7 linked regions of the Oryctolagus cuniculus genome follow. The protein of the gene in region 3 interacts with the protein of the main gene of each other region in a pairwise test. Links are inferred from orthologs where the notes say so. Each region holds a gene or a part of one and is shown on either strand. Other genes may lie near its edges.

Evidence for each region.
Region 1: the proteins of USP2 (region 3) and CCDC136 interact in binary tests that used the Homo sapiens proteins (3 or more experiments, as listed by UniProt). The two-hybrid records come from large-scale screens. The link is inferred for Oryctolagus cuniculus from reciprocal best matches to the Homo sapiens genes USP2 and CCDC136.
Region 2: the proteins of USP2 (region 3) and NEFL interact in binary tests that used the Homo sapiens proteins (3 or more experiments, as listed by UniProt). The two-hybrid records come from large-scale screens. The link is inferred for Oryctolagus cuniculus from reciprocal best matches to the Homo sapiens genes USP2 and NEFL.
Region 4: the proteins of USP2 (region 3) and LHX4 interact in binary tests that used the Homo sapiens proteins (3 or more experiments, as listed by UniProt). The two-hybrid records come from large-scale screens. The link is inferred for Oryctolagus cuniculus from reciprocal best matches to the Homo sapiens genes USP2 and LHX4.
Region 5: the proteins of USP2 (region 3) and DTX3 interact in binary tests that used the Homo sapiens proteins (3 or more experiments, as listed by UniProt). The link is inferred for Oryctolagus cuniculus from reciprocal best matches to the Homo sapiens genes USP2 and DTX3.
Region 6: the proteins of USP2 (region 3) and LZTS2 interact in binary tests that used the Homo sapiens proteins (3 or more experiments, as listed by UniProt). The two-hybrid records come from large-scale screens. The link is inferred for Oryctolagus cuniculus from reciprocal best matches to the Homo sapiens genes USP2 and LZTS2.
Region 7: the proteins of USP2 (region 3) and NDEL1 interact in binary tests that used the Homo sapiens proteins (3 or more experiments, as listed by UniProt). The two-hybrid records come from large-scale screens. The link is inferred for Oryctolagus cuniculus from reciprocal best matches to the Homo sapiens genes USP2 and NDEL1.

The regions. Positions count from the first base shown.
Region 1 is NC_091434.1:164,988,472-164,992,691, reverse strand, and holds the start of CCDC136 (coiled-coil domain-containing protein 136), read right to left. Parts: upstream 2,801-4,220; 5' UTR 2,725-2,800; coding exon 2,667-2,724; intron 2,030-2,666; coding exon 1,922-2,029; intron 279-1,921; coding exon 30-278; intron 1-29. UniProt on the Homo sapiens protein: May play a role in acrosome formation in spermatogenesis and in fertilization.
Region 2 is NC_091433.1:49,228,294-49,232,310, forward strand, and holds the start of NEFL (neurofilament light polypeptide), read left to right. Parts: upstream 1-1,217; 5' UTR 1,218-1,353; coding exon 1,354-2,400; intron 2,401-3,349; coding exon 3,350-3,474; intron 3,475-3,917; coding exon 3,918-4,017. UniProt on the Homo sapiens protein: Neurofilaments usually contain three intermediate filament proteins: NEFL, NEFM, and NEFH which are involved in the maintenance of neuronal caliber.
Region 3 is NC_091432.1:110,949,461-110,952,960, reverse strand, and holds part of USP2 (ubiquitin carboxyl-terminal hydrolase 2), read right to left. Parts: exon of another isoform or gene 3,038-3,500; 5' UTR 2,997-3,037; coding exon 2,217-2,996; exon of another isoform or gene 1-2,216. UniProt on the Homo sapiens protein: Hydrolase that deubiquitinates polyubiquitinated target proteins such as MDM2, MDM4 and CCND1. Isoform 1 and isoform 4 possess both ubiquitin-specific peptidase and isopeptidase activities.
Region 4 is NC_091438.1:8,347,032-8,351,146, reverse strand, and holds the start of LHX4 (LIM/homeobox protein Lhx4), read right to left. Parts: upstream 2,801-4,115; 5' UTR 2,530-2,800; coding exon 2,454-2,529; intron 1-2,453. UniProt on the Homo sapiens protein: May play a critical role in the development of respiratory control mechanisms and in the normal growth and maturation of the lung. Binds preferentially to methylated DNA.
Region 5 is NC_091442.1:60,208,415-60,212,705, reverse strand, and holds the start of DTX3 (probable E3 ubiquitin-protein ligase DTX3), read right to left. Parts: upstream 2,801-4,291; 5' UTR 2,687-2,800; intron 2,638-2,686; exon of another isoform or gene 2,254-2,637; 5' UTR 2,190-2,253; intron 912-2,189; exon of another isoform or gene 768-911; intron 652-767; 5' UTR 605-651; coding exon 576-604; intron 483-575; exon of another isoform or gene 277-482; coding exon of another isoform or gene 258-276; coding exon 1-257. UniProt on the Homo sapiens protein: Regulator of Notch signaling, a signaling pathway involved in cell-cell communications that regulates a broad spectrum of cell-fate determinations.
Region 6 is NC_091446.1:28,872,964-28,877,226, reverse strand, and holds the start of LZTS2 (leucine zipper putative tumor suppressor 2), read left to right. Parts: upstream 1-1,463; 5' UTR 1,464-1,708; intron 1,709-1,846; exon of another isoform or gene 1,847-2,571; 5' UTR 2,572-2,641; coding exon 2,642-2,692; intron 2,693-4,263. UniProt on the Homo sapiens protein: Negative regulator of katanin-mediated microtubule severing and release from the centrosome. Required for central spindle formation and the completion of cytokinesis.
Region 7 is NC_091448.1:52,910,712-52,913,483, reverse strand, and holds the end of NDEL1 (nuclear distribution protein nudE-like 1), read right to left. Parts: intron 2,473-2,772; coding exon 2,373-2,472; 3' UTR 501-2,372; downstream 1-500. UniProt on the Homo sapiens protein: Required for organization of the cellular microtubule array and microtubule anchoring at the centrosome. May regulate microtubule organization at least in part by targeting the microtubule severing protein KATNA1 to the centrosome.

The sequences.
Region 1 (4,220 bases), on a different chromosome or scaffold from region 3:
AGGCCCCCCGGCCCGCGGCAGGCGCTCACCCTGCAGCTCCAGGGAGTCGTCCTCATGCTGCCCGACCAGCTCCCGCGTCTCCTCCAGCTCGGCCACCAGCTGCAGCACCTGGGCTCTCAGCTCGTCCAGCTCAGTCTCGGTGAGGCTCAGGCCCCGGTGCTTGCTCAGGGACAAGGAGCCTCCGCTGCCAGCCTTCTGCATGTGCTCAGCTTCTTCTTCTTCCACCTCCTCCTCCTCCTCCTCTTCCTCCTCATAGAGAGCTGGCAGTAACACCTCTCCTGGGAGAGACGCCCAGCCCAGAAGAGAGTCAGTGCCAGCCTCCTGTGCGTGGCCCTTCCAGAGGGCAGAGCGGCGTAACAGTGCCGCCCGGTGTGCCCAGGAGTCCCCTGGATGCCTGATGAGCCCTAGGTGTTAGGGGCAGGTCAGGAGGCCACCTCGCCCTCCCCTCCCCCAGATCCTCCTGGCCCAACGGCACGCTTGGTGGCCTCTGCCTCCAACCTGTGGGCAAACAGTCTCCTGGCTCAGCCCGGGGAACCACACATGCACACCCAAGTCTTTTCTAGTGTGTTCTCTGGGGAGAGGGCTGAATGGTCAGGAGATTCGGACACCAGGCATGCCTTTAGGCCAATCAGGGCCAGAGTTACAGTTTGAGGATTTGTAGAAAGTTTTTTTTTTTTAAATTATTCAGGTGGCTTAGTGTAAAATTAGCCTTTCCATAATAAGCAAACATTGCCCGTCAGTAGGTAGAGAAAGAAAACATGTGAATGAAATGATTCTAAATTCACTGGACAAACGCGGGGGCCCTTTCAAACGCATTCTGTCAAACAGCTGTTTGGAATTTTCTGCAAGCTCCCCTTGCTTGGCCCTGCTGGGGCTGGCTGTCACGGGGCCTCCCCTCCCCACCTGAGCAGGGTGAGGCCCCTCCTCCCTTGGCCCTCCTGGCTGTCACAGGGCCTCCCCTCCCCACCTGAGCAGGGTGAGGCCCCTCTTCCCTTGATAACCCCTCTTGCCCCTGGAGTTTTCAGGGCAAGTCTTAGCTTGCACCTGTGTGTAAAAGTGAGCCTGCCACTGTAATGTGTTTCAAAGGAAAAAAATAATAATAATAATAATAGCAACAGGGGGGGGTTAGGTGCTGGTCCCCAGCCCCTGGTTGGCGAGCAGCCCCTCTTTCACTGCAATGCAGTTCCTGGAAATAGCAAAATCTTGTCTGAACGGTGATTGTCTGCTTTGTCTTCAAATGCAGAGGCTCTGCTCTTACTTCCTCTTAGCAGCAGCCTAAGGCTCAGCTGGGACCCCTGTGTCACCTGCCCCTCTTAAGGGGACCAGGGTGGCCCACACCGAATAGGCGGAGGGGCCTGGGGACTCCTCCCAGGGAGTCCCGGCACCTGGACCAGCCGTGTTCTTCCAGGGGCCCGGCGTTGGCTGCGGTGCCCAGTCACACGGGTGGGGTGGGCACCCACGTGCGTCGGAGGGGACGGCCTCACCTGCCCTTCCTGGCCTGGCTCTTCCAGGCGACCAGAGCCCGGAGGACCGCAGCTGCGAGACTTTGCTTTGAAGTGCATGGCGGTGCCCATGCCCTTGCCTTTTTTAAAAACCAGAGACAGCTTGGGATCTGGGTCGCAGGCGGGGAGAACGAACCCCCCACTGAAAGACTGCTTCAAAGCTCTGTCCACAGAGGCCTGGTTCTCTGTCTGGCAGCTCCCCAGGGGCACGCAACCTGGTTAGCTGTGCCATCGGGGCCCCAAAGGGATGCACCTTGAACTTTCCTCAGAGCGCCCTGGGGAGGACTGGAGTTCCCACCCAAAGGAGGAGGGGCCTGAGGGAAACAGAGGTCAGGGCTGTGGCACGGGCTCGGAGCTCTGGGGTCACAGGGAGGGAGGAGAAGGGACCGGAAAGAAAGATGCCCTTTTGGGAAACTCACCCTCCATAGCTTGCATCCCTCGCCGCTCCAGGGACCCCCAGCGCTGGCCCTTCTTCCTCTCACAGCCCTCGGACACCTCATAGGAGCCTAAAGTGGTTACTGTGGGTCCTGTGAGCAGGGAGACAGGAAGCCATGTGGGGGGCAGGGGAAGAGAGGGGACGGACGTGCCTTCCAGGCCGGTGGGGCCCTGGGATCTGCAATCCCAGCGGAGGCGCCTGCCAGCTCAGCTCTGCGACTCCCCTCCCTCAGCCTCCCCCGCGGGGACCCCAGCCCAGCTGGGGTCCTGGTCTAGGCAGAAGGAGGGCGGGCGTATGTTCAGAAGAGGGGACCGAGAGGAGAGGGGCTGGGACGCAAGGAAGAGCAGCAGCCAGGAAGGGGGAGCGGCCGTGCGACTGCAAAGCGGCGACAGAGGCGCACGAAGGGGTCTGGGCGGGGACGCCCCCTACCCGCCCCGCCCCGCCCCTCCCGTCACACCTCGCCGGGCGCCCAGGAGCCTTTAGGACTGGAGGGGCTGCAGCGGCTGGAGCCCCCGCGAGCTGGAGGGGCAAGAGGGGAGGGCCCCCGGGGAGGATGTGGCCGCTGTACCGGAAAGATGGAGACCGGGCCCGGGACGCGCGGGGACGGAGGGAGGAAGGCTGAGGGCGGAGGGGTGGGCAGCGGAGGAGCAGGGATGCCCGGGGTCTGCAGGCAGGCGCGCAGGAGCGGAGGCAGGAGGGGCGGTGAGGGGAGGGAGGACGGCTCTGACCTGGGCCCGGGCAGCTCCAGCCCGCGGCTCCCGCGCCGGCCCCGGCGCCCGCCTCCATGGCCGCTCCCGCCGCTGCCGCCGCCTCCCCGAGCCGAAGCCGCAGCCGCCGGGCCGGGACCCGAATGGGCGCGCGGGGAGGAGAGAGGGCGGACCGAGGGGCGGGGCCTGGCCAGGCCTCCCGCTGCTGCCGCCGCCGCCGCCTCCCGGAAGCCCTCCCTGCGCGCTCTCTGCGAAGGTGAGCGCGCCTCGGCACGCCTCGGGTCTTGCCCTCCGACACGAGCTGCCCCGACAAGGAGCGGCCACATCCATCTGCTGTGGTGGCAGGGACGCCTCTGCGGCCGGTGTCGGGGCCCGGTCCTGCCCAATGACTGCGGAGGAAGGGCAAGGTGCCCATCCCCGCAGCGCGGTGACCCCCTCCAAGCGCCTTCGTGGGGGAAGCCAGGCCGGGACATGAGCACTGCGGGGCCTGAGCCCTCCGTGTTCCCTGGACGCCCACCCAGCCACAGCCCCGGGCCCGAAGACCCCTTCACCGTCCCGCTCTGTCTCCCTCCGGCCCACACCCAGTGGCTGCAAACCACGCCCCCGCCGAAGTCTGCCATGGTCACTCCAGTGGAAGGGAGCAGTGGGGTCCCAAAGGGCTTCTTATTCAACCGTCCACGCATTCAGGGAGTGGCTGCGGGCGCTGGATTGCCGAGGCAGTTGTCACCTCTCAGAAACGTGGGAGATCCCTAAACCCGAGGCGCACAGACCCCTTCTCTTGCATATCCGCCGCCAGGTTGGGGGGGGCACCTAGAAGGGCTGTCTGCCTTCATTCACCCCTGCGCCTCCTCCTCCCGGATTCCCAGGCCCTACACGTGGAAGGCCTCATCTGCTCCCCAGGGGATGCCCTCTCTGGGCTCTGCGCCTCCCAGCATGGTGGTGGGGGGCGAGGATCCTGTGTGCCCAGCTTCTTGAAGGTTGGGAAGTATCTTAGACCTTGTGTCTCCAGCATCGGTCAGAGTACCTGAGGCACAGAAGGCGCGTGTACAAGTCAAGCACAGGTAATGCTGTCTTAGCAGTGAGCAGAGGGCGACATCCTGTGCAGTCCACGGTGCCCATTAGCAAGAACGTTGCCTGCAAGTCCCTTACTCCCCAGCCCCTCTCCTGTCCCCTTGGCTCGGTCCCCCCCCCCCCCCCCGCAGCCTGAGGCGCTGAGAAATGGTGAACACAGGTCGGGGGTGTTTCCTGCACTTGCTCCAGACCTTGCGGCCAGAAGAGCCCAGTGAGCGGGAAATAGCAGCTCTGCTGAAGCCGGGGGTGTGGGGAGTCGTCGGGACGCTTGGAAGGGGCTGGCACGGGGGGCTTGGGGAGCGTGGAGCTCTGGGGACCCACATCCAAGAGGCTGTTCTTTCCGCCCCAGCACAGCCAGCCTCTCTGGTTCTGTCTCCACCAGTAGGGTCAGGCTCTCGCCACGGCCTTGACGGCTGACCACTTGGTGGACAAAGGGAGAGACAGAGGAGGAAGCTGTCATTCTCCCTGGCAGCTCTGATCCTCAGAGCTAGAACGAGTCTCTCC
Region 2 (4,017 bases), on a different chromosome or scaffold from region 3:
TGTGGAAAGGCGTATCCACGTGCTGTAAGGCGTGCACATTGTTTCAGGTATCCGGGTGCTTTCCATAAGAAACCCATAGATTTCTGACTGCCTTTCTAATCTACCTAACATAGCGACCCGACGGAGGAATCACGCGGCTGCTTTGGCTGCAAGCTCCAGGAGTTCTCTCCGGAGACCACACCCGACGCCTGAGGCTGGCCGCCGCAGCTTCCCTATGAAAATCAGCCACCTGCATGGCCTTTCGAAATCATCAGGTTGGGTGTTACACAGGTGTACAAAGCGGGCAAGGGGGCTTTTAATAGGAGGGAGTCGGTAGTGTCAAGTCCACGAAGCAGGGATTTAGCTCGGGGAAGTTCCAGCCAGGCAGCCTGAAGTCAGTTGCCCGCCGTAGAGCGAGCCGCCGCCTAGCAAGCGGGTCTTCTCCTTGGTAGCGTCACTCTTCCTCTGCTTCCCTCCGTCTACCCGCGTCGTCAACACACCGAAAGCCTCCAAGGCTTTCTTCCCCACAAAGAAGAAAATTTAGGAAGCCAGAGGCAGTGCCCTACAGCTTTAGAAATGATAAAAGGTAACACCTGCAATGCACGCCGCAATCGCGCACGTGTGTAGGTAGGGGGGCAGAACCCTGTGGGCTGAGAAGCAGCCCACCAACTCCGGGGGTCAGGGGGCCCAGGAGAAAGGTAGATTAATTAAAGAAAGTGCCAGAAAAACTGCAAAGAAACGCGAAACTTTCCTCGCTAAATGCCGCATACGTGCAACCACAGCCTATTCTCCTCTCAAACCACTAGCGACACTGCACCGTCGCCATAAACACTAAGTGGGGAAGAGGGGTGATCAAAGAGGTCCCTGGTGGGAAGCGGTGGGCTGCGGGCCAGGGTCTCCGAGAGGTACCGGGTTATGGAAAACTAAGTTGTCAGTGGGCGGCGAGAACCAATGGCTGGGGATACTTGAGCATCTGAGTGATACGTGGGTCCCGGGGTAAGCAGGCTGCGGCTGGCTGGGTGGGAAAGGACAGGACACAGGTGCGGGGATATAGGGTCTCAGAGAACAGAAAGGGCCTCAGAGAAAAGTGCAAAGGAGAAGAGCCGCAGCTCAGCGGCCCCGCGCCGCCGCCCCCGCCCTCCGTTTTGCGCAGAATCCTCCCCTTGGCTGCAGCAGCGCGCTGCCCCCACTGGCCGGCGCGCCGGGATCGATCGCAGGCTGCGTCAGAAGCCTCGCGGCGTATAAATAGGGGTGGCAGGACGGCGCCGAGCCGCACACAGCCATCCATCCTCTCCTTTCCCTCTCTCCCCCGTCCTTCTTTCTCTCTCCAGGCCCCATCTCCGGCCGCGGGCCAGAGGGGCACCGGCCGCCACCATGAGTTCGTTCAGCTACGAGCCGTACTACTCGACCTCCTACAAGCGGCGCTACGTGGAGACGCCCCGGGTGCACATCTCCAGCGTGCGCAGCGGCTACAGCACCGCGCGCTCCGCTTACTCCAGCTACTCGGCACCGGTCTCCTCCTCGCTGTCCGTGCGCCGCAGCTACTCCTCCAGCTCCGGCTCCTTGATGCCCAGCCTGGAAAACCTCGACCTGAGCCAGGTAGCCGCCATCAGCAACGACCTCAAGTCGATCCGCACGCAGGAGAAGGCGCAGCTGCAGGACCTGAACGACCGCTTCGCTAGCTTCATCGAGCGCGTGCACGAGCTGGAGCAGCAGAACAAGGTCCTGGAAGCCGAGCTGCTGGTGCTGCGCCAGAAGCACTCGGAGCCGTCCCGCTTCCGGGCGCTGTACGAGCAGGAGATCCGCGACCTGCGCCTGGCTGCCGAAGACGCCACCAACGAGAAGCAGGCGCTCCAGGGCGAGCGCGAAGGGCTGGAGGAGACCCTTCGCAACCTGCAGGCGCGCTATGAGGAAGAGGTGCTGAGCCGGGAGGACGCCGAAGGCAGGCTGATGGAGGCGCGCAAAGGCGCTGACGAGGCGGCACTCGCTCGCGCTGAGCTGGAGAAGCGCATCGACAGCCTGATGGACGAAATCGCCTTTCTGAAGAAAGTGCACGAAGAGGAGATCGCCGAGCTGCAGGCGCAGATCCAGTACGCTCAGATCTCCGTGGAGATGGACGTGTCCTCCAAGCCCGACCTCTCCGCCGCCCTCAAGGACATCCGTGCACAGTACGAGAAGCTGGCCGCCAAGAACATGCAGAACGCCGAAGAGTGGTTCAAGAGCCGCTTCACCGTGCTGACCGAGAGCGCCGCCAAGAACACCGACGCCGTGCGCGCAGCCAAGGACGAGGTGTCCGAGAGCCGCCGCCTGCTCAAGGCCAAGACCCTGGAGATCGAAGCATGCCGGGGCATGAACGAAGCGCTGGAGAAGCAGCTGCAGGAGCTGGAAGACAAGCAGAACGCCGACATCAGTGCTATGCAGGTGCGGCCTGGTGCGAAACACGGCGGGGGCGGGGACCTGCAGAATGCGGGGGTCGGGGCAGGGGGAGAGTTGAAGCTGCGCCCAAAAAGTGGAGACCAGGGCTGGTAGGGGTCGCACTGTGCTCCCAGGGGACGGTGTGGGAGGGGCGGGGCCCTTGGGTGGGGCGGGGCCGCTACTGCAGTCTGGGTGTGTGAGTGGTGCAGTGGAGTCTGAGTTCCGCATTGAAGCTGCCCAGCGTGGGAGGGGTCAGGCGGGGGCGGGGGAGAGGTGGGAGTAGGGCGTTGCCCTGGCCTGCAGGGATGTCGGGCCATCTACCTACCTGCATTCACCTGAAGTTACTTTGCAACACCAGTGGGATCACCTGGTTAATAACCATAGCGAGTAAGTCTTAATTAGTCCCGAAAGGTTACTGTGGCCAGTATATTTTATGACTGGTTAAGTACCAGCTACTCCTCCCCTTAGCAGGTGGACAGGAACCCAGACAGATTTGTCTTGGGTAACTAGCTGGGGAGCAGAAATATAGGAAATATTTTAGAGAAAGTATAAGCAATTTAGCTACTTCCTTCTCTTATGAAGAAATGGATGAATTTTCTGGATTGTGACCTGGCTAAAGTGGAGTTAACCCATAAATGAGAATCCAGCCTTTTCTGTCAAGTTAGTTTCCATGCAGGCATATTCTGATGCTCCTTAGATTGTACTAGTTGAGGATATTGTCTTAAAGGAATGTTCTTTCTTTAGTTTTTTTTTTTTCTTCTCATGCTTCATGAAGCTGGATATTTTAGGCGAGAAATATTTTCAAAAAAGAGTGAGCAGCTGTTTTAGGGGAGATTTTTATTAAAGGTGTGCCCCTCGACTCTAACTGAAACTGAGTGTTTGTAACTGAGCTACAGTAAAATGATAGCAGTAGGAATTGATGCTTAGATTTTCTTCTTTTTCTGTCTTCCAACAGGACACGATCAACAAACTAGAAAATGAATTGAGAACCACAAAGAGTGAAATGGCACGATACCTAAAAGAATACCAAGACCTCCTCAATGTGAAGATGGCTTTGGATATTGAGATTGCAGCTTACAGGTAACAACAGAAGGGCAAAGGTAGTAGCCAGAAAGCCTTGGAAGAAAATCAGATGCCATTTAGATCATGTTGAACCAGAAGCCTTCTGCAATAGCCCTCTGAAATGAGATATTATTATGATTAGTTTGCTTCTTCGAAGGAGCAAGTGTTTAGACAAATATCAAAGAACTTTACCCTGTAATATTAAGTCCTGTTTTTAGCTTCTCATTACACTTAAAATCTAATAGAACTATTTAACGTACTTTATTCTGTATCCCCCCACCCCCAGTCTCATTCATAAAATTCCTAGCCATTGGATATTGGTAATTCCCAGCCCTCTCTTGTTTGCATTTGCCTGTAGGATGGCATTGGGAGAACAGATGAGAGGTGGGCTTAGAGCAAGTCATTAAATACACTTCCTAGGTTGTTTTAATTTTAACCCTACCCTCTGTTGGTCTCCCCAGAAAACTCTTGGAAGGTGAGGAGACCCGACTGAGTTTCACCAGTGTGGGCAGCATAACAAGTGGCTACTCCCAGAGCTCCCAGGTCTTCGGCCGGTCTGCC
Region 3 (3,500 bases):
GACTTGGAATTGCTTAAGCACTTGTTTCTCCCAAATGAAAAGCAAGTGCTCTCAGGCCAGGGCTGAGGCGCCTGCATCACTTGCCTCCCAGAACACCTGGAAGGCGCGAGGAGGACTTCACGCTTCCTGAGCGCCTACTACGTGCCAGGCAGTCTCACGCACAGCCAGCACCTTCCCGTCCCTTGCAGTCACTGCGGAAGCGGGAGCTGTAAGTGCTCCCATCACAGATTCAGAAGTTCAGGGACCCGAGCTCGCCCTGCCAGTCAGCTGAGCCTTGCACACGAGTGAGTGAGATGGCAAGGTCCCCAAGGGAGATTCTGAAAAGAAACCGGACCAGGTGTTCAGACAGAAGTGGTCTAGGCCCCACGGGCAGGATTTGTTCAGGGCTCAGCAAGTGCAGGAAGCTCCAGGAAGTGAGGGCGGGAGGGACAAGGGGAAATAAAGCCTTATCCCACAGGCCCCTGAGCTCAGGATGAGACGCCAGTTCCCCTGCAGGTACTCCCAGCTGCCTGTGTGTGCTGTGGGTGCTTCTGGATGGGAGAGGCCACGTTAGGGTGCAGAGTTTGCCCCAGTCTCTGCCACTGTCCTCTCTCACAGCTCCCCGACCCTGGTGCTGGAACTGGGGCCGTGCAGCAAATTCCAGGGAGGGTTGGGATGCGCCTGTTGGGGAAGGGGCCTGACACCCCCTGCCCTGTAGAGAGAGGTCCTCTGAGGATTTGGTGCGAAGGGCAGTGCCCAAGCCCCATCCCAACATGGCCCTGGGCCAGCCCACAAGCCCAGCAGGTGATTTTGATGCAGGCAGGCTGCAGACCCAGCTTTGGGTCTCTGAGCAAAGGGAGGGAGCCCCACGGAGCTTCCCGGACCCCAGCTCCTCCCGCAAGAGCCATTCTGAACAACATCTCCCAAGCACGGCACACAGCCCTGTGAGAAAACGTGCTCCTTCCCAGACCAGCCCAGGTGGGTCACGTCTGTTCTCCAGCTCCTTTCTATGCTGGCTCTCAGTGCAGCCAGCCCTGCCCCATCGGGGTCTCACTGCTCTGGGGTGCACCAGCTTCGTGTCTCATGGCACTTCACAGATGGCCTAGCCAGGCCAAGACTCACTAAGTAGTTATCAAAGGTGTCTTCTCCAGCCCTTTAATTAAGACAAGAGTCACGGCCAGTAACCCAACGCCCGACCCTAGTCCTGGACCCTTGCTGTATTTGCCCGGCTAAGTCCTCCAGGCAGTATTTCTTGGGGGTGGCATAGCTGTTCTTTCCAACAAGCCTCATATCCCTGGACTAGGGAAGGGGCAATGGAGGAGACATAACACCCAATCCTCCTGCACCCGTGCTTGCTGTCTGTCCTTCCATTCGTCCATCCACACGTCCACCTGTCCACCCACCCATCCGCCCATGCAGTCAGAGGCCAGCTAAGCCCCTTGCGGTGCCAGGCACATGGCGAGGAATTTCCACATAGGATTTCTCTCCCACCCTCTGAGAGCATGCTCCCAACGGGCACACCACAAACACAGAGGGTGGAATGTGGTCAGTGACTCAAGAGAGGGGTCAGATGTCCGAGAGGCCAGGCCAGCCTTTGGTCCCTACCCAGCAGAGCCACTGCCCTCTCTCCAGCCGAGGGGTTGGGTTGTCTCAGGCCCCAGACAAAACGTTCTCTGCTATTTTCTCTGAACTGCTGTCCAGACACCCTGGTCCTGAACCCACCAACGTGGGTGGGCGGAGACTCCCGCTTCCCCTGATATCTTATACTCAGATGCAGGGCCTGAGCAGGGGGAGGGAGGCAACCAGGACGGGGAAGCTCCTCTTGCCACAAGGAGCACTGGTGGTCTTGGGACCCCAGCATTCAGCCCAGGATGGGGCAGCGTCTGCAGGAAACAGGAATTGGGTGGAAAAGGAGAGGGTGAGAACGGCAGCGTGTGTGTGTGTGTGTGTGTGTGTGTGTGAGAGAGAGAGAGAGAGAGAGGGGAGAGAGAGAGAGATGGGGGCAGCTGACAGTTCCATGAGCACTGCTGACCGCCCGCGAACGCTGGGAAAGGCCCTCCCCTTGGCGCTGAGCACGGATGCAGTACGCGTGCCAGTATGACTTCTCTGCCTTCGCCTCCACCAGGCCCCACTGCCATCACACCAGTCAGGATGGCAGTCCTGCCCCCAACCCAGCTCTTCTCCACCACTGGCTGGCTGTCTCCCAACCTGTCCCTGGGTCCCCAGGGTGCACTTACCATGGTGTCTCGCCCTGGGGAGCTGGAGCGGCTGGACCCCGGGGCCTGGCCCTTGCTCTTTTCCCACAGTGTGTAGCGGCCACTGGGTCGGTAGGTGGGACTGAGGACTTCGGGGACGCCTCGTGAGGGAGGGGCCTGGGTGAGCACCTGGGGTGCGCTGCCCTTGCGACCGTAGTTCTCCAGATAGTCCACCAGGTACTCGGGGCGGCTGGCTGCCTGGTAGAGCCCCTGCAGGGCACAGAGCTCCTTGCGCGTGCGGGCCAGCATGGGGCTGCGGCCCAGGTTCCCAGGGTCGATCCGGTAGCTGTCTGAGGTCCGGAGGCTGGAGAAATCCCGGGCCAGGTCTGATTGGCTGTTCGACTTCTTCTGGGCCAGGGTCAGCCCCTGGTCACAGGCATTCATGGGCAGGTAGCTGAGGGAGCTGCTGGTTACTCCATACGAGCATCCACTGCCGCCGCTGAGCCCACTGCCTAAAGGCCGCTCGGTGCCCCGGGTCTGGCTCTCTGCCCGCTTACTACCCCGAATGATGTCGGGTCTCAGCAGGGGGCGGCCCCTGTCAAAATCCAGGATGGAGGAGGGGCCGTAGATCCCAGGACGGGTGAGGAAGCTGGTGGAGGGGCTCGGCTTGAAGCCGAGCTTTTCCTTCTCCAGGAAGGAGGTGGCCAGGTTGGCCCCATAGGAGGATGGGGTGTAGGTGCCATAGCCCGGTTTGCCGTAAGGGGCATCTGTGTAGCGGGTCGATTCTGTGTAGCGCTTCAGGGTGGAGGAGAGCTGGGACATCCTTCAGGGCGGCGCTCAGTGGGGACTGGGAGCCTCATGGGCTGAAAGACAAGGGAAGCAGGGGTCAGCTCCCCATGGCACCTGCTGGGCCCGCAGCCTTAGAGCTCAACACAAGAGGCTTCCCAGCTGCCCCCCGGGGAATGGGCGCGCACCTGCCATGCGCCTGTGCCGTCCCAAGAGACCAGCTGGCTCTTACACGCCTCCCGGGGAAGCGGGTTTAGTGCATATTGGCTATTCCGCGTGCCCCCCTCGAAGACCCGGACAGGCACGCAGGGACTGCCCACCTCCACAGTCCTCTGAGCTACGTGTGGCTTCCAGACCAGACCCCATCCCTGACCCCCTGGACATGTCGCCAGCTGAGATGGCACCCTCTTTTCTGACTCAGGTGGCAAGCAGGCACCCTTTTGGTGTCAGACTGTCCGCGGCAAGGACCGGAGAGCAGGACTGGCAGGCAGGGGAGGCCGAGGGGGCTGGAACCCGGCCTCCACACCCCAGTCCAGAGCC
Region 4 (4,115 bases), on a different chromosome or scaffold from region 3:
AGCCAGGTTGCTCCTGGGGTCACCCCCAGCCTCCTGCCGCTTGCCAGAGCTTGTCCGAGCCGAGCCGGGCAGGGGCCGGATGGGCGGCCCGGAGACTGTTGGCGCTTTGAGGACCACTCCGGGGCCGCATGACTTCTGCGTGGTGCGACCCTGCTACCCAGGGGTCCAGCAGCAGCAGAGGCGGGATGAAGTCGGAAGGAAGAGCGCAGGGGTGTGGGCCCAAGGGACATAAATTACGTTATTTGGCAACATTCTCCTGAAGTAAGACAGCAAAGGAATAGCCCCTGCTGCGGGAACAAGCTGGGTTTGAACTTCTAGAACGCCCCTGAAGGCGAGGGCGCCAGAGGTCCAGGGGAATCCCAAGACTTCTGCCCCAGGAGCTCCATTTGCCGGCTCAGGGAGACGAAGATGGGGAACCTGTGTGTGCTGGGCAGTGGGCGCCCCAGGCCCTCCAGCTAAGGGGCTGGACGGACTCCCAGAAGAGGGCCCATCTGTTATTCCCACTCCACATCCCGTTACCCCTCTTCCTCCCTGTACCCCCAGACCCCAGGGCCCTGTCCCAGGAGCAAGAGTGTTTGTGTATCTGTAGGGAAAGGGCCCAGCCCATTTATCCCCGGGTTCCTGGCCCTAGGAGCTTAGCCGCTGGCCGTTAAGCTAAAAGCGACAATCACATCCCAAAGTTCGGAGTGGGGGGGGCGGGTGGTAAAAAGTCCCTGAAACGGGGGGGGGGGGCTGTGTCTCCTCCCACAGCCGAAAGAACCCAGGCTAGACTGGCCGCCCCTCTTGGTTCTGCACTGCCTCCCTAGGCTACCCTGGGGTGATGCCTTTTTCTCCCTCATTAAGTTTGACACAGTTTCCACCCAGGCCCAGAGCCCCGGCGAGCGACAGCCCTGCAGGCGAGTTCTGGGCATTTTCGACAAGTGCGTTTCTGCCCTCGAACACCAAAGCTGTCTCCGAGTAAGAGACACTGAAGTGCGACCATCAGAGCGTCGGGCATCCCAGACCCGCAGAGCGGAGCCCAGGGACCTTCTCTGCAGCTCCAAGAGGCAGGCCACCTGCGGGCCACGACCGCTAGACACGAAGCCTTAGCCACGCACGGCCTCTCCAAAGCGCGCCGCAGTCCTACACTGGTTGGCACAGAAAGACAAATAATAACTGTAGGATGTGGTCGATCTAAATAAGATAAATAAAGTTCCTCTTTGTAGTACCTTCTCAAAAACTTCCCAGGGCACGCGTTCGCCAGCCCGTCCTTCGAGGCGTCGTCGAGACAGAAACCCTGCCGTGGAGAGCCAGGGCGCAGGAGGGCGCGCTCGTGCGCCCTGGTTCGTAGGTGGTCACCATTCCTTCGTGAGCCCGCTCTTACTTACACCCCAAGGACGTACTGCCCCACCAAAGGAGTTGCAGGAGTACAGCCCCCTGAGCCAGCCAACCGGTCTCTCCGCGGTGCCCAGGAACCAGAGAACAGTCGGTGTCCGCGGTGCCCAGGAGCGCCCTGCCAGACGCGCAAGGCACGCGGCAGGACTCTGGCTGTGCACGCCAGGCGCGCGCGCGCGCCAAGCTCTGGGACCTGTTCCGGCCCGGCACGGATTCTCCCTCGCGGAGTCTCCAGTAGTGAGGGACGGAGACAGATTCCCTCCGGGAAAATATCTGCGCGCGCGCACACCCCTCCATGCATAGAGACCTGGGGACACACCCGCCCGGAGCGCGCACCGCCTGGTTAATTTCGAGCGCGGGAGAGAAGCGGCCAGGCTGTCGAGACGCTCACACACACCCCAGTCTCTCCCCTCCAAACTCGAGCCGTGCTGAGCGGTCTGCGCCGGGGTTGACCCCCGAGTCCACAACTTCGGCCCGCGCTTCTCCCCCCTCCGCATTCCCCTCGCAGCTGGAATGTGATGAGCAGGTTCCCTCCCCAGGAGCAGTCGGTTCCCGAAGGTTCAAGCGGCGGGCGCCGCAGGCAGCAGCGGCTGGGGACGCACCAGGCGCGCACGCCCGGCGCGCTGGCCGCGGGGACGGAGCGTGCGGCCCGGGCTTCCGCGCCGCCGGCCCCGAGGGGCGTGGGACTGGCTCTTCAACTTCCCGCCGGCTGGGGTGAAGTTGCACACAGTGGTCCTGTGAGCCCAGAACATGGCCCCCCCGGGAAGACCACCCTTGCTCGCCCTGACGCCTGTGGCCTGCAGCTCACCCCGCTGAGGTCCCCAAACAGCACTCTCCTCCCGCGTTCCCAGAGAAACCAGGTATTGGAGGTGCGGTGCTCGCGCATCCTCGACCCGCCACGAGCGCTACCCAGGTGGCTTCCACATTCGACCCCAAGGAGCCAAGAGCCAGGCCCTTGGAACGCACCCTGGCCGCGGCCCCTGCCCTGCGGCCGCCTCTGCGCCCCAGCCCGCCCGCCCCGCAGAGGCTGCCCGCGGTCCAAGGACCGAGTCCGGCGGGCGCGGAAGGGGGTGTCTTACGTTGCATCGGCACAGCGAGCATCTCCGGGAGCCCCTTGACGGCCCCCTCCGCGGGGACAGCCGCGCTCTGCATCATCTCGGAGCGAGAGCCAGCCAGGCGCAGTCCACGGAGATCTCGCTCGCTCGCTCGCTCTTGGCTGGACTCAGAGATTGGAAAATAATAAAAAGCCCGAGCAGGCCGCGGAAGTCACGGTGGCCGCCGGGCCCTCGGCCTCTCGGGGAGGACTCCACAGGCTGGCCGGCCCCTCCCCCCGGCCGTGCTCGGTCTGGTTCGGACGCCTTTGATCTCGCTCTCCGGGGTTGGTGCACATCCCGGGTAGAGGAGACGCTGTTGCTGCGGCTCTGGCTTTTCTCCCCTCCTCCTCCTCCTCCTCCTCCTCCCCCCGCCCGCCCGCGCCCCCTCCCCCTCCACCCTTCGCGTGCCGGCCGCCGGGAGGCCGCGGTCACCCGGGCATTTTGATTCATTCACACTGCAGGAGCGGCCGTGACGTCGCTTTCCGCAGGGAGGCCCGCCCTGCAGCCAAGTTGCCCCCACCCGGCGGCGGGCAGCCGACCCCGGCCGGAGTGGGGGCCCCCGGCGCCCCAAGTGAGCGGGCCGCGCCGGGGGCGGGGCCGAGCGGAGTGGGGCGGGGCTTCGCGGCACCCTCCCCGCGGCCCGCGTGCGGGCTCGCGCCCCGGGCATAAATACTGCGGCCAGCGGGGCCGCGGCAGCAGGTGGTCCGGGCGGGCCGGTTTCCGCGCGGCCTCCCCCGGGGAGAGGGGTGGTTCCCGGCCCAACACCCGCGTGCTACCCGCCCCCTGCTCGGAACCAGGCCGGGGAAGACCCTCCGCGGGCCAGGAACGCGTGGCCGTCTCCCCCTCGCGCGCTCGCGGTCCCCCGGCTTCTCTCCGCCGCCGGACTGGGCGCGCTCCGTCACCGGATGACTCCATCCGTCCTCCTCCTCCTCATCTCTGGCCAACTCCTCTCTGGCCGGCACTTCCCAGTCCCTGCTCTCTCTCCCCCGCGTCTGGCTGAGGCTGGGCCAGGGACAGCCCGTACTCGGCCCAGAACGCGCGAGTCACGGCGCGGGCGGCGGCCGGGGCAGCGCGCGGTGGTGGCGGGGCGCGGTCCTCCCCCGCGCGCCCCTGCCCGCCGCGGGGACTCTGAATTTCCCTTTCGGCCCAGTTGGGACCCCGCGTCCCCCTCGGCAGTGGGGCCTCCCCGGACGCCCGGGGGGTGTCGGCCCAGCTCCGCCTCGCCGGCTGCAGGCGCGGGCGCCTTAGCCAATCCCAGCCCTCGTGCGCGCAGGACGGCGGCGGGCGCGCAGCCCCCGGGGCTCCCCGGCCCGCCGGGGCGCTGGGCTGCTTCTCGTGGGCGCCTTCTCCGGACTCCCATAAATACAAGGCGTGCGTGGAAACGCGTAAAACATAGGCTGCCCAGCGCGAGTTTTCGGCGGAAGTACATCAGAGGGCCTAAGGCTGGAGCCTCGGAGACTCGGGGAAGCCCACCCTTCCTGCCTGGAGACCCGGCCCCTCTAGGGGTCTCCGCGCCCGCGACACTCCCACCCCGAATTTCGTTCCAGGGATGAAGACAGCCGCATTCTCCCAGCCTCGTGGTGCCTAGCTGGCACGGGAAGAGGGGCTGTGCGCCCTCCTCAGCCTTCCAGAGAGCCCCGTCCTCTT
Region 5 (4,291 bases), on a different chromosome or scaffold from region 3:
GCTCTTTCTCTGCCTCCTTCAGCAGCCCCTTGAGAGCCTTGCGGGCCAGGTAGAGCCCATTGGGAGGGGCGGGGGGCGGGCCCTGCGGGGAGAGCTGGAGAACGTAGATGTCAGAAGTCTCGCCATCTATGAGGATGGACACGCGGTGCTCCTCCCGAAGCCGGGCCAGCCGGGCTGGGGTCTCCTTGCTCAGGAAGTCCCACACAGGCTTGGAGACAGTCACTTTGTTCTTGCAGGTGCCTCCACAGGCTGCCATTCTGGACAGGACGAACGACACTGCCCCCAGGGTGAAAGGGACTCAGGGTGGGGGGTCCCCATGGACAGGTGCCAGTGCCTCCTACATCAGGCTCCTGCCAAAGCCCACATGACCCCTATGCTCTCAAAGCTGAGCCCCCAGCCCCTCCCCCAGCTCTACCTTCCATTGAACCCCAGCACCCACTGAAGGCAAGAGTTTCCATAACTTTGTTATGATGGAAACATCAGTCTGGCTGTTTCTTTCCATTCTCCCGCTACACAGAAACAATGTGTCCCTCTGCCCTCTGGGGAGTTTTGATGCCCCCCTCTCCTTTGCTCACTTTGATCCTGAAGAGCTTAGAATTGGCATGCAGGCTCACTCTCTCTTTCCTGCTCCCTACTTGTGGGTTGTATCACCTGGTAGGGTGGGGAGGAAGAGGAGAAAAAGTAAGAAACCCCTTCTGCCAATTCCCACAGGTCCCAACCCAGCAGCCTGAAACAGAGGCAGGAGTGTGTCTCTGAGTGTAGATTACCGAATAGGGTTACTTGGGACACGGGAGGGAGGAGATCCATGTCTGGGTGGAAGCTGAGGTTCCCACAAGGGGCAAGTACCTGGAAAGCCCATGGAAGATGACGGCAGCAGAAGCCCCTCTATATCCACACTCAGCTGACCAGGGCTGGGGGAGGGTTAACAGTTACCATGGCAAATGTTCTCTCTCTCCCTGGCAGCCCAGAAACAAAACTTCTCCCAGGTACTCTCCTCCCCTGCAGAATGCCATTCCCAGCCTCCCCCGAGGTTGCAAGAGGCACTGTGACCTGTTAACCTTCCTCTTCCCGGCTCCAGCTCTGGGGCTCCCCAAAAAGCCCAGGGTCCAAGTAAGATAAGTCAACACAGCAGAAGCCCACATCAGTGGAGCTTTCTTATCACCTCCCTCAGATCACATAGACAAGAAATTGCCCTGTGCTCCCCAACTCCTTGTCCTGCTCCCACTTTCTCAAAGAACTCTGCCCTGAAGCCGGTGAGCTGAAGTTAGGGGTGCAGAAAGTGGCAGCGGCCCTGCAGTAACAAAGTTCTCACCGTCACCTTTGAGACCCAGCATGCCCGCGGGGCTGCTTGCCAGCTCCCCGGTCTGCATTTAGGGAGGGGCAGGGCTCAGGGGCACAGCTGGAGGGGTCAGAGGTGTCCCTGAGCCCTGTCAGATTCAGTCACTGGGCTGTCCTCACAACACCTCCAAATGCAGCTTGTCAACTAGAAAGAGGGGCCATGTGACCTCAATTTCTTATCTGATCCAAAAAGGAGCAGCTGTCCCTTTGTGCCTCCATCGTAGTCTGCTCAAGGCCAGATGGACCTCGGATTCAGAAAGTGACACTGGATCTTAGAGCCCCCAGTGCTTGCCCCTGATGGAGCATCCCCTTCCCGACGTGGGGGGGGGGGGGGGAGACCCCTAGGACCTAAGTGTCCTAGCTCCAAGTCCTGCTGGCACAGAAGAGGGAGGCGGGGCCACCGCTTAGGCTGGGTCTGTGATTCCTCTGGGGCAGCCCTGGCCGGACTCGGGCCCAGTTCTGGCCTCCAGATAGAGGGTGGAGGCAGGGACAGCCCGGAAGGGCAAGGGTCCCTCGGGGCATCCACTGTGGCAGCTCCACCCCTCCCCCCACGACCCCCTCCAGGTCCCGACCTGGACCCAACTCCCCACTTCCCCTACTCGCCCAAGCCCCCACAGCCTCACCACCAGCTGGGTGGTGTACGGTGGCCTGATCGCGGCCCTCAGAACCCCCAGACGGAGGCCTGGAGGCCGGGGCCGGAGGATCAGAGAGATGAAGGGCCGGGCACCGAGGGGGGCCCCGGCGCGGTGCGTGGGGGTAGGGGATGCCAGAGGAGGTGGGGGGGCGTGAGGGGGCCGCGAGCGGGGGCCGGGGGGCGCGCAGTGGGTGTGGGGGGCGCCGGGCTCACCTACCTCTCGTCAGCGCCGCCATTGCCGGTCACATGACTGAGGCTGTTGCTGGGATGACGGTCCGGGCCTTAGCAACAAGGGGGGGGAGACCCTGAGAGGGTTGGGGGGGCTGCAGGGGTGCAGTGAGAGACTGAGGAAGAGGGAGGACAGCACCCCCTCTCCCCTCACAGGTGATGATTACCGCTTCCCTTGACCCCTGCTATGCGGGAGCCCCTGCCCTTCCGCCCCAAAACAAAAATGGAGGCGCAGTCCCAGGCTTGGGAGGGAGGGGTGGCGTCATGTAAGTGAGGGTAGGAGGTTAAATCCCTCGGAGACGCCACCCTCCTCGCGCCCCTCCTCTCCTTTCCCAGCCAGCTGCGTGGCAGCTTCGGGGGGCGGGGGCTGGAGGGGCAGGGTTTGCGAATCCTTGTGCGGGAAGGGACTTGGGAGGAACGAGGCGGGATGGGAAGGGGCACAGTGAAAAGCAACGCACTGATTCTAAAACAGAAGCGTCTCCTTACCAGCGGCTCCGGGGCCCTCCCTCGCCCCTGGCCTCTTCCCAGATCACCTGGGACCCCCACCACCTGCGCTCACACAAGGGGACTGCCTGATCCTTCCCCTTCCAAGACTGGGGTAGCGAGGCTGGTGCAGAATGAGCAAGTGAATACACTGTTTTGTTTTTCAAATCACTGGGGGTGGTGCTGGTGTCAAGTGTATGGTTCTAATAGAGTTAAAAACTCAGAAAGGAAAAAAAAAAAGCCAGCTCTGTTCTGCTTCCCACGTCAGGCAGTCTCCGCCCCCACCCAGCTCACTTCCCAGGGGCCACATCAAGCCAGGTTTTTCCACCAGCAAGGCCGTGGGCCAAGCTACACTCACTCTCCCAGACTGGCAACAGCCCCTACTCCCCCACCCTTCACTTTCCCAGGCCCCCGTGCTACTCTGCCTGCCCTTCAGGGGGTGCACCCTGGGGGAACACTGGGTTCCTCTGCCTTTAGCTGCTCGCTGCTGGACAGGCCTACTCACCTTTCCAGAGACTGGTGCTAGGAAGGCCTCAGAGAGGGAGGGTCACCCCCCCACGCCCCATTCCCAGAGGTGATTTAGTTTCCCACTCCCGTGCACACCCATCACTAGCTGTTGAATTCACAGCCTTCTGCCTAAAAACCAGTGCCTAGTGGGGGCCCAACACACCTCGAAGGCCAGAAGTACCCCTAAGTACAGGCTTTCTCAAAGTTTTTTTTTTTTTTAGAAAAGGCAATAATGTAAAGGAATTGAATAATTTATTTTCTGTATTGTAGTAGTAATGGGAGTAAATACACAAGACCTTTTTATTAATAAAACAAAAAAGAGGAAAAACAGAAGCAACAAATGAAGACCATACTGCCCATGATACATCAGCCACATGGCCAGAACACCACTTCTAAAGGACAATGGTTGCTGGTGTCACAGAGTTTTATTGCATTCGACAGGGAAAAGGTAGCAGGCTGGAATGGAAACGGTCCATCAGGGCCCTGATGGGAAAGCATTAGAGAGGTTCCAACCCCCAGCTGGGGACTCCTCTTGCTACTTCCTTTTGGAGGAGATTAAGGGGAGCCAGGGCTTCTCCCTATGACCTCATGACCTCTCGTGAAACCGATCAGTCCCAGCCAGACACAGAGAAGAGCAGCCCTGCAGCCCCAAGGGCAGCTGCTTGCATCCACCTTTCCGTTAACTGTGGGGTCCAACACGAGTGCCCGGGTTCCACACCCGCCTCCAGCTCCTGATGCAGACCCTGGGAGGCCACGGTGATGGCTCAAGTGATTGGGTTCCTGCCACTCAAATGGGAGACCTGGACTGAGTTCCCGGCTCCCAGATTCAGCCCTCAGTCCTAGCTACTGTGGGCATCGGGGGACACGAACTAGTGGATGGGAACTCTTATCTGTCTCTCTCAAATTAGAAAAAAGAAAGTTTAAATGTGGGAAGCTCCAAGGGGCTGGAGGACAACCTGAGCACAGGTGCTCTGGCTTCAAAGGCACTGGGAGAGGGGAGGACACTCTGTCTCACAGTCCTCCACGTCCTGAGACTATCACGCCTCAACTCCTCTCTGCAGAGGCTGGGTGACGGAGCTATGGCTCTGACTCCTCTCTGGG
Region 6 (4,263 bases), on a different chromosome or scaffold from region 3:
CCAGGAGCCAAGGGAGCCGGGCTGGTGCCTCGCTCCCCGGCCCCACCCCCCAGCACTCCACCATGCTGATCCCAGCTGCTGCCTGAGCCTCCGGGCGCGCTGCCAGCAAGGGGAGGCGGCTCTGAGTGCCCCAGGAGGCCGGGATCAGGGCACGACCAGAGGAAGGGGCTCTCCACTGGGGAAGGGGCTCAGTCTGTTTTTGCGAAGCTGAGGGTCTGGGGTGAGCCTGAGGTTGGCTGGGCTATGTTTCCCTTTCCAGGGAAAAAGAAAGAAAAACAACCCATCGAGCTAAAAATAGAGCTGAGCGCCGGCCAGGGCTGTGGCCTGGAAGGGGGGGATGCTCCTTCCTGGGGCAGAGCCCAGCTCTGGCTGGCCTTGGCCCTGCGGGGGAGGGCTGCCGTCTGGGCGAGGGAGGCCGTCCTCGCCAAGGCCAGCGGGCATCAGCTGACCTGGCCAGGTCACAGAGACCCCTAAGGAAAGGTCTGTGTGATAGAGTGCATGCAAAACACGGTGTGCAGTATGAGAAGCTGTTTGTGAGTACTGCGAGGCTGTCAGCATGTGAAAGATGCTGGGAGGTGCGAGGGCCTGCGAGTTGTTGTGAAAGACTTAATGCACAACCGGTGTGACGCGGGGCTGCGCGGGAGCTGGCCTGGGAGTGCATGGAAGGAGGCCTGGGGGACCACGTGACGGATGAAGCTCTGCGATTGCGGCTGCCCGAGACTGAATGTGGGAAAGGTCGTGTGGGTGTTAAGATGTTGTTTCCAAGAGGGTGAGCATATGCGTGACCCTGAGGAGACCGTGGAATGTTGTCTGGTGGGAAGCTGGTGTAGGCTTGGGCTGTGCCTTTCCACTGGGGAGGCCAGAAGCCGCCCTTCCCCGGGCAATGACCCTTCTCTTAGCCAGCGACTCCAAGGGAAAGTTGGGGAGTCCAGAGCCGCGCCAAGGGCAGGCCTGGGCTGGCGTCCACGGGCACGGGCTGTGGAGTGGGAGAAGACCCCCCTGGGTCGGGGGGCGAGTAGATGTGCTCTGAGAACCGACCGCCAGGTGGCGCCGCCTCCGCAGATCCTCGTGTACCGCCTCCAGCCCGCTGTGGGGTGGGCCAGGCAGGGACCTGGCCGCGGCCCCCGACTAGTGCTGGGGCGCAGGGCCCCGGCAGCCGAGGAGCGGCGGGCAGCTGACCCTCGGCTTCCCGCTCTGGACTCTGAAGCTGGAGAGTGTCTGGGGCGGGCTTCGATTAGAGAAGCGAGGGGGAGGGGCCGCCGCGCCGCGCCTTGGCCCTTTGTGCTCGAACAATGACCAGCTGCCGCTGGCCCCGGGGCCCGGCTCTGGTAGGGGGTGACCCGCCCGCCGAATCCACAGCCGACCGAGCCGTCCGACACGCAGTCACCGAGACTCGGCGGGAGGGGTCCCGCTCGCCGCCGCGCAGCCCCTGCGTGCGCCCCAGCAGACACGCGTGACGTGGGGTGCCTGCGCGTGTCCGCGCCCCGGGGCGGGGACGCCCCTCGGACCCCTCCCCCGCGCCGCCCCGCGCCGCGCCGCCCACTCGGGCCGGGAGGGGACTGGCCCGGGCCGGGTGCGCCGCCGAGGCGGAGGCGGGGCCCGGCCGGGTCGGGCCGCTCCGAGTGGCCGCGCGCGGGCCGGAGCCGGGCGGCGCGCCTGTGGAGCGCTTGGGGCGGCCCGGGGCTGAGCATGGAGCAGCGCGGCGGAGGTGAGGGGGAGGCCGGGGCCGGGAGGAGACCCGGGGTCGCCCCCAACTTCTGTGCGGCGGCGTCGGGAGGGGAGGCGGCGTTCGGCGGCCGCCGTGCTGGTGGGGGGGGGGGGTCGTCGGCTGAGTGGGGGTGGGCGGGGGGAGGGGTCCCGGCTTCCTGCCTCGGAATGGGAACTCGGATCCCAGACTTGAGCCTGCGTGACTGTTCTTGGAGTTGAGGTGGGAGGGCGACTTTCCCGAACTCCTCAGCCCCCAAAACAGGTCTGCGCGAGCTCGGAGCGCGGCCAGAGCCGTCGCTGGCCCTGGCTGAGCCCCAGCCCTCAGCCCTCCGTCCTGCCCACCGCGGCGATTACTCGGGAGAGCGAGGGGTTCCCTTTGCCCACAGCCACGGCGCATTTCTCAAAATGGAGCCTCGGCTTGCCCCTCCTTCTCAGTCGGGCTCTGAGAGCGGGAGTCCTACTGGCTGGGCCTGGCTGGCCGGCTTTCGTCGCTCTGGGTCTGGGGGGCCTTGGCCTCTTGCGGTTCCGGGGCCTGGCGCCATGGGCCGGCCTGCCTGGCTTCCTTGGCCGCCTGACCCCCGCGCCTCCCTGAGCCTTTGTCTCGGCCTTTGGCTCTTTCTCCGAGTGGGCCCATCGCCTTCCTTCAGTTTTCACTTTTCTCTGTGCTCCCTGAAGAGGAGAAATGCGGACAGAAATGCCAGCCCGCATGGCCCCCTTAGCAGCCCCTTCCCCCGTCCTGTCCGTGCCTTACGTGGCCCTGCAGAGGGAGGAGGAGGCTCCCGGGTGCCCGCGTTGCCCAGGGCTGGAGCTTGGGGTGCTGTCAGGCCCCAGCCCTGCAGCCAGGCCCACCATTGCTCCCAGCAGCTCCTCCGGCAGTCTGGACTGACACCGACCTGGTTCTTGGTGTCTTTTCACTTGGGTAGAGAGGAAAGGGATGAACTCGATGGAACACAAGCAAGAAAGAAGGGGAACAGCTCGGACAAAGGTGGTTCCCCCTCTCCCCACACTCCAGAGTGAAAACTGGCGGGTTCCCTCGCACTCCCCGGTGCCCGACATGCCTGCCCTCAGAGCCTTCTCTGTGGGTAACCCGGCTCTGGCCGGCCTGCTGTGCACACACAGGAGTTCGCGGGGGGGAACCCATGTCCTGGGTTCCTCTTCAGCATCTCAGCACACTCACCTGTTACCTGTGCATTTACTACTCCTGCGTACTTGCATGGTGACCCTTAATTACACACGCATACGTGTGAGGTTCACACGTTAGTTCACACCTAGACGGGTGTATGTATTGAACATGTCCAAACACACACTCATGTTTTCACACGCATTATTCCTGGCACGCAGTGCTCACTCTGCTGCCCCTGGGCATAAAGGCGGCCATGAAGACCTGTACACGCACACATTCCTACTCCCAGGAAGTTTTCTGTCCGCCTCCTTGGCCTGCACGTTCTGCATGATGATTTCGGCAGATGCCAGAGCCCTGGTGCTCTGCGGCCTCGGGACCGGAGGGAGTTCCCCAGGGAGGCTTGCTCTCCCCTTCCAGGAAGGAGCAGAGCCCGGGGAGGTGGTGAGGTCTTGGAGCAGCTGCCAGAAGTGATGGTGGGGCTTCCGCCTCCATCGGGGTTTCTCTGGAGATGGCGGAAGCTGGAAGCTTCTGATAGAGGTTGGAGTCGGGCAGCGCCCATGAAGGCTCCTTTAGGCCCCATGTCACACCCTGACTGGGTATGGAGAGGGTAGGGGTTGTCATAGAAACAAGCAAGTGCCTGCATCACCTCCAGGAGGCAGGTGTGTGTGCCCTGAGAGCTGTGGACTGCCTGTTTGGCCAGCTCCACCCTTGCCGCCTCTCTGTCTGGGAGAAACTGAGGCCCAATAGGGGGAGGTGGGGCGCTGCTTGGCCTTGGCTCTTTGTTCCCTAATTATTGTCTGAGTTGCTGGTGGTGTCCTTGAGGTTGTCGCTGCCCAAACTGCCCTGTAACGAGGCCACCTGTCCCAGGAGACTGGGGACCTGGGCCAGGTGCTGGGAGAGAGGGCTTCTTGCCTAACCTGAGTCCTGGTCTCCGTGGGGCTGCAGGTCTGGGTCTGGGCCTCCACTGCCAGGTGGCCCTGTGCAGGCTTCCGATCCCTTCATCTCTGCCTGGTGGCCCTGTGCAGACCAGGGAGCAGTGGTCTGGGGCCCAGAGAGAAATGAGATTCGTGCCAGTACTTGGAAGAGGAGCCTTGGGGGGGGGGGGGGGTCAGGGCGTTGTTACTCATGTCAGGAAGGCGTTTGGCCTGGATCAGGGGACAGCACAGGGACTCAAGGCCTTGTATAGGGAGAGGGTATAGGATGCTGGGATTCTTTTTGTTTTGTTTTGTTTTGACAGGCAGAGTGGACAGTGAGAGAGAGACAGAGAGAAAGGTCTTCCCTTGCCGTTGGTTTACCCTCCAATGGCCACCACGGCCGGCGCACTGCGCCTATCCGAAGGCAGGAGCCAGGTGCTTCTCCTGGTCTCCCATGGGGTGCAGGGCCCAAGCACTTGGGCCATCCTCCACTGCACTCCCAGGCCACAGCAGAGAGCT
Region 7 (2,772 bases), on a different chromosome or scaffold from region 3:
CACCTACACAGCCCCAAAGAAATCAGCTTGCTTGACAAAAATAGGAAAGCAACACATAAGGAACTAAATAAAAATCATGGAGAAAAAAAAAGAATGTCTTTGAGAGAATAAGTGACTGCACTGCACGTGAAATGTGCCCTTCAGCTGGGTGACACAGAGGCGTGTCCACGCCGGGGGCAGGAGGCAGATGCACAGTCCACACGGCAGAACTGGCAGAAGGGATCCCAGACGGGCTCCCAGAGCACCTCTGAAGCCCACAGAGCAGACACCTACATGAGGGACGCTATTGTGCGTGGTGGGGCTTCGTCGCCCCTGAAGGTCCTCATGAGGACTGGGCAGGTGGGGTGCACATACGTACACCCACACACAAGCCCACTCTGATGAACTCCTTCCCCCAGACAAGCCTCCCTCAGGTCTGTGGGCAACACCAGTAAGCTATAGTGACAGTGCTACACACAGACTCAGGAGGGAGGGATGGGACAGGCCGGTCCCAATGCCAAGGGCTTGTTAAAATGGACCCTTCTAAGAGGACTGGCTTTTTTCTTTTTTTAACCTGCCACATTTAGTAATGGATCTGGGAACCTTCCTTTTGCAGCTGGAACACACCACCTTCGTTTTCATCTAGTCAGTAGGTCAGCAGGAAGAAAGGCTAGAGGTAAGAGCGAAGCAAGCCAGAAGGAAGCCAGAATCAAGGCAAAGCAGCAAGAAAGCGAAGACACAGCAAAACCCTCAAAGGAGTTATCTCAGGATTACAGCAACGAGGCCAAGATAACTCAAGTAGCAGGAGGTTAATACTTCAGCGTGCAGAAAACCCATTTATCACATCATCTAAGCACTCGAGCAAAGGCCAGCCTACAAAAGCACTTTGAATTTTTAATAAGAAATGGTATAATATAAAATTTGTACAATTTAAAACCAAAACGAAGCAATGTCTGTTGCAGGTGTACAGTTTCAGGTGCAGTGCAAGGAAAAAAGCTTCTATGCCTACATCTAGGCCACTCCTCAGGGGACAGGTCCAGTCAGAGTGTGCAGGGCTGACACCGAATCCTCTACTGCTCCCCAAGAGTGGGTGCGGCTCTGGGCAGTGCCTGCCCTAGTGCCCTGCAACAGGAGCCAACTGAAGGCAGGAGCAGTGAGCCGGCAGGGACAGTGTTACTCCTCCCTCACTGTGACTGCCCTGAGGGCCTTCCAGAGCAAAGGCAGACGCCACGCAGCCCAGTGCCGGCCAAGCCTGTTCTCATGTCTGAAGGTGCCCGACACCCACCAAGAAATACGACTCCAGAGAAAGCCTAATAACTAGTCTACTGGAGGTAATCACCAGTTGCAGGAAAAAATAATTAGCCATTATTTCCAACACTCATGAAGACTACACAAACCTTCTCCATGCCATTTGGGGGAAATGACTACTGTAATGTACAAATTATCTATGCACTCATTTACCATTAGGGAGTAAAAATGGGGCACGCCTTAGGCATCTGGCTGAAACAGCTACACCTGGAGAAAATGAACTGTATACTTACCCCAGCTGAGGAACCCCAATGGTTAGAACTAAGTTCTAGTTTACGGGCATTTTGGAATGTGCTTTTAACAGTGTCCTTAGTGAAATGCATACATTTTGGGGTAGAATGCTCTTAGGGGACAGAGATAAACCAGAACACTCCATTAAAGGATGTACAGTTAGACCCTTTTCAGAATAGACTGTGTGTCACATCACTCTCTCTACAAATGGGTCATAATTATCAAGGACAACAGAACATAGAAGCCCCTTTGAGAAACTGTGAAAATGTTCAGAATTGAGCCAACACTGCTTTCACACAAAAACAAGAAAGAATTGTTGGGACTGGCACTGTGGCACAGCAGGTAAAGCTGCCACCTGCAACATGGGCATCCCATATGGGCACTGGTTCAAATCTCAGCTGCTCCACTTTCAATTAGTTACCTGCTAATGGCCTGGGAAAGCAGCAAAGGATGGCCCAAGTGCTTGCGTCCAGAAGCAGCTCTGGGTCTCTCTGTGGGAGACCCAGAAGAAGCTCCTGGCTCCCACTTTGGCCTTGCCCGGCCCAGCCCAGTCTAGCCATCTGGGTAATGAACCGGCGAGTGCAAGATCCTTCTCTCTGTAGCTCTTTCAATGCAGTAAATAAAAGAAAGAATTGCCTCGGCAACTCAGAGCAGAGACCATGGCAAAGGACCCTGGGTACCTCTGCTGTGTTCCGGTAACCACCAAGTTAGACCACTAAGTCAGCATCCACATACCCTAACTAGCCCCTGCATTAAGGCATGCCTGTACAAGAGCATAATCACACAGTGCCTGGGAATAAAGAACACTGAGGTGGAACCACGTGCACTGACACAGGAAACAGAGGCAGCCTAAGTCACCACAGCCACGCTGCAGCGCCGACAGGTAAAGTGTGATCCCCAGAGTGTGCTGGCGACAAGCTGACAGCAGATGCAGCAAAGTAGGATTCTGCATGCCTAGGAATAACCGTATGGAACGTGAAAATAATATAAAAGCAGTTATTTTTTATTTCATATACTTCCATGCCAATGGAAATTTTTTGCATTAAGAAAATATCACTGTTTTAATCTTAAGACTTTAAATTTCAAAGCCCAAAAAGCGTCTTCACTGTATGCAGAAGCTGTACCTCCTACACTCTGTGTGATCCAGGGTCTAGACAGCTCAGGGCTTTGTGTTCCAAGACGCTCACGCAAGCTCGTTGTTGCGTTTGCTGCACCTCCATAGTTACGAGATCACCCCTAAAGACGACTGGCTAA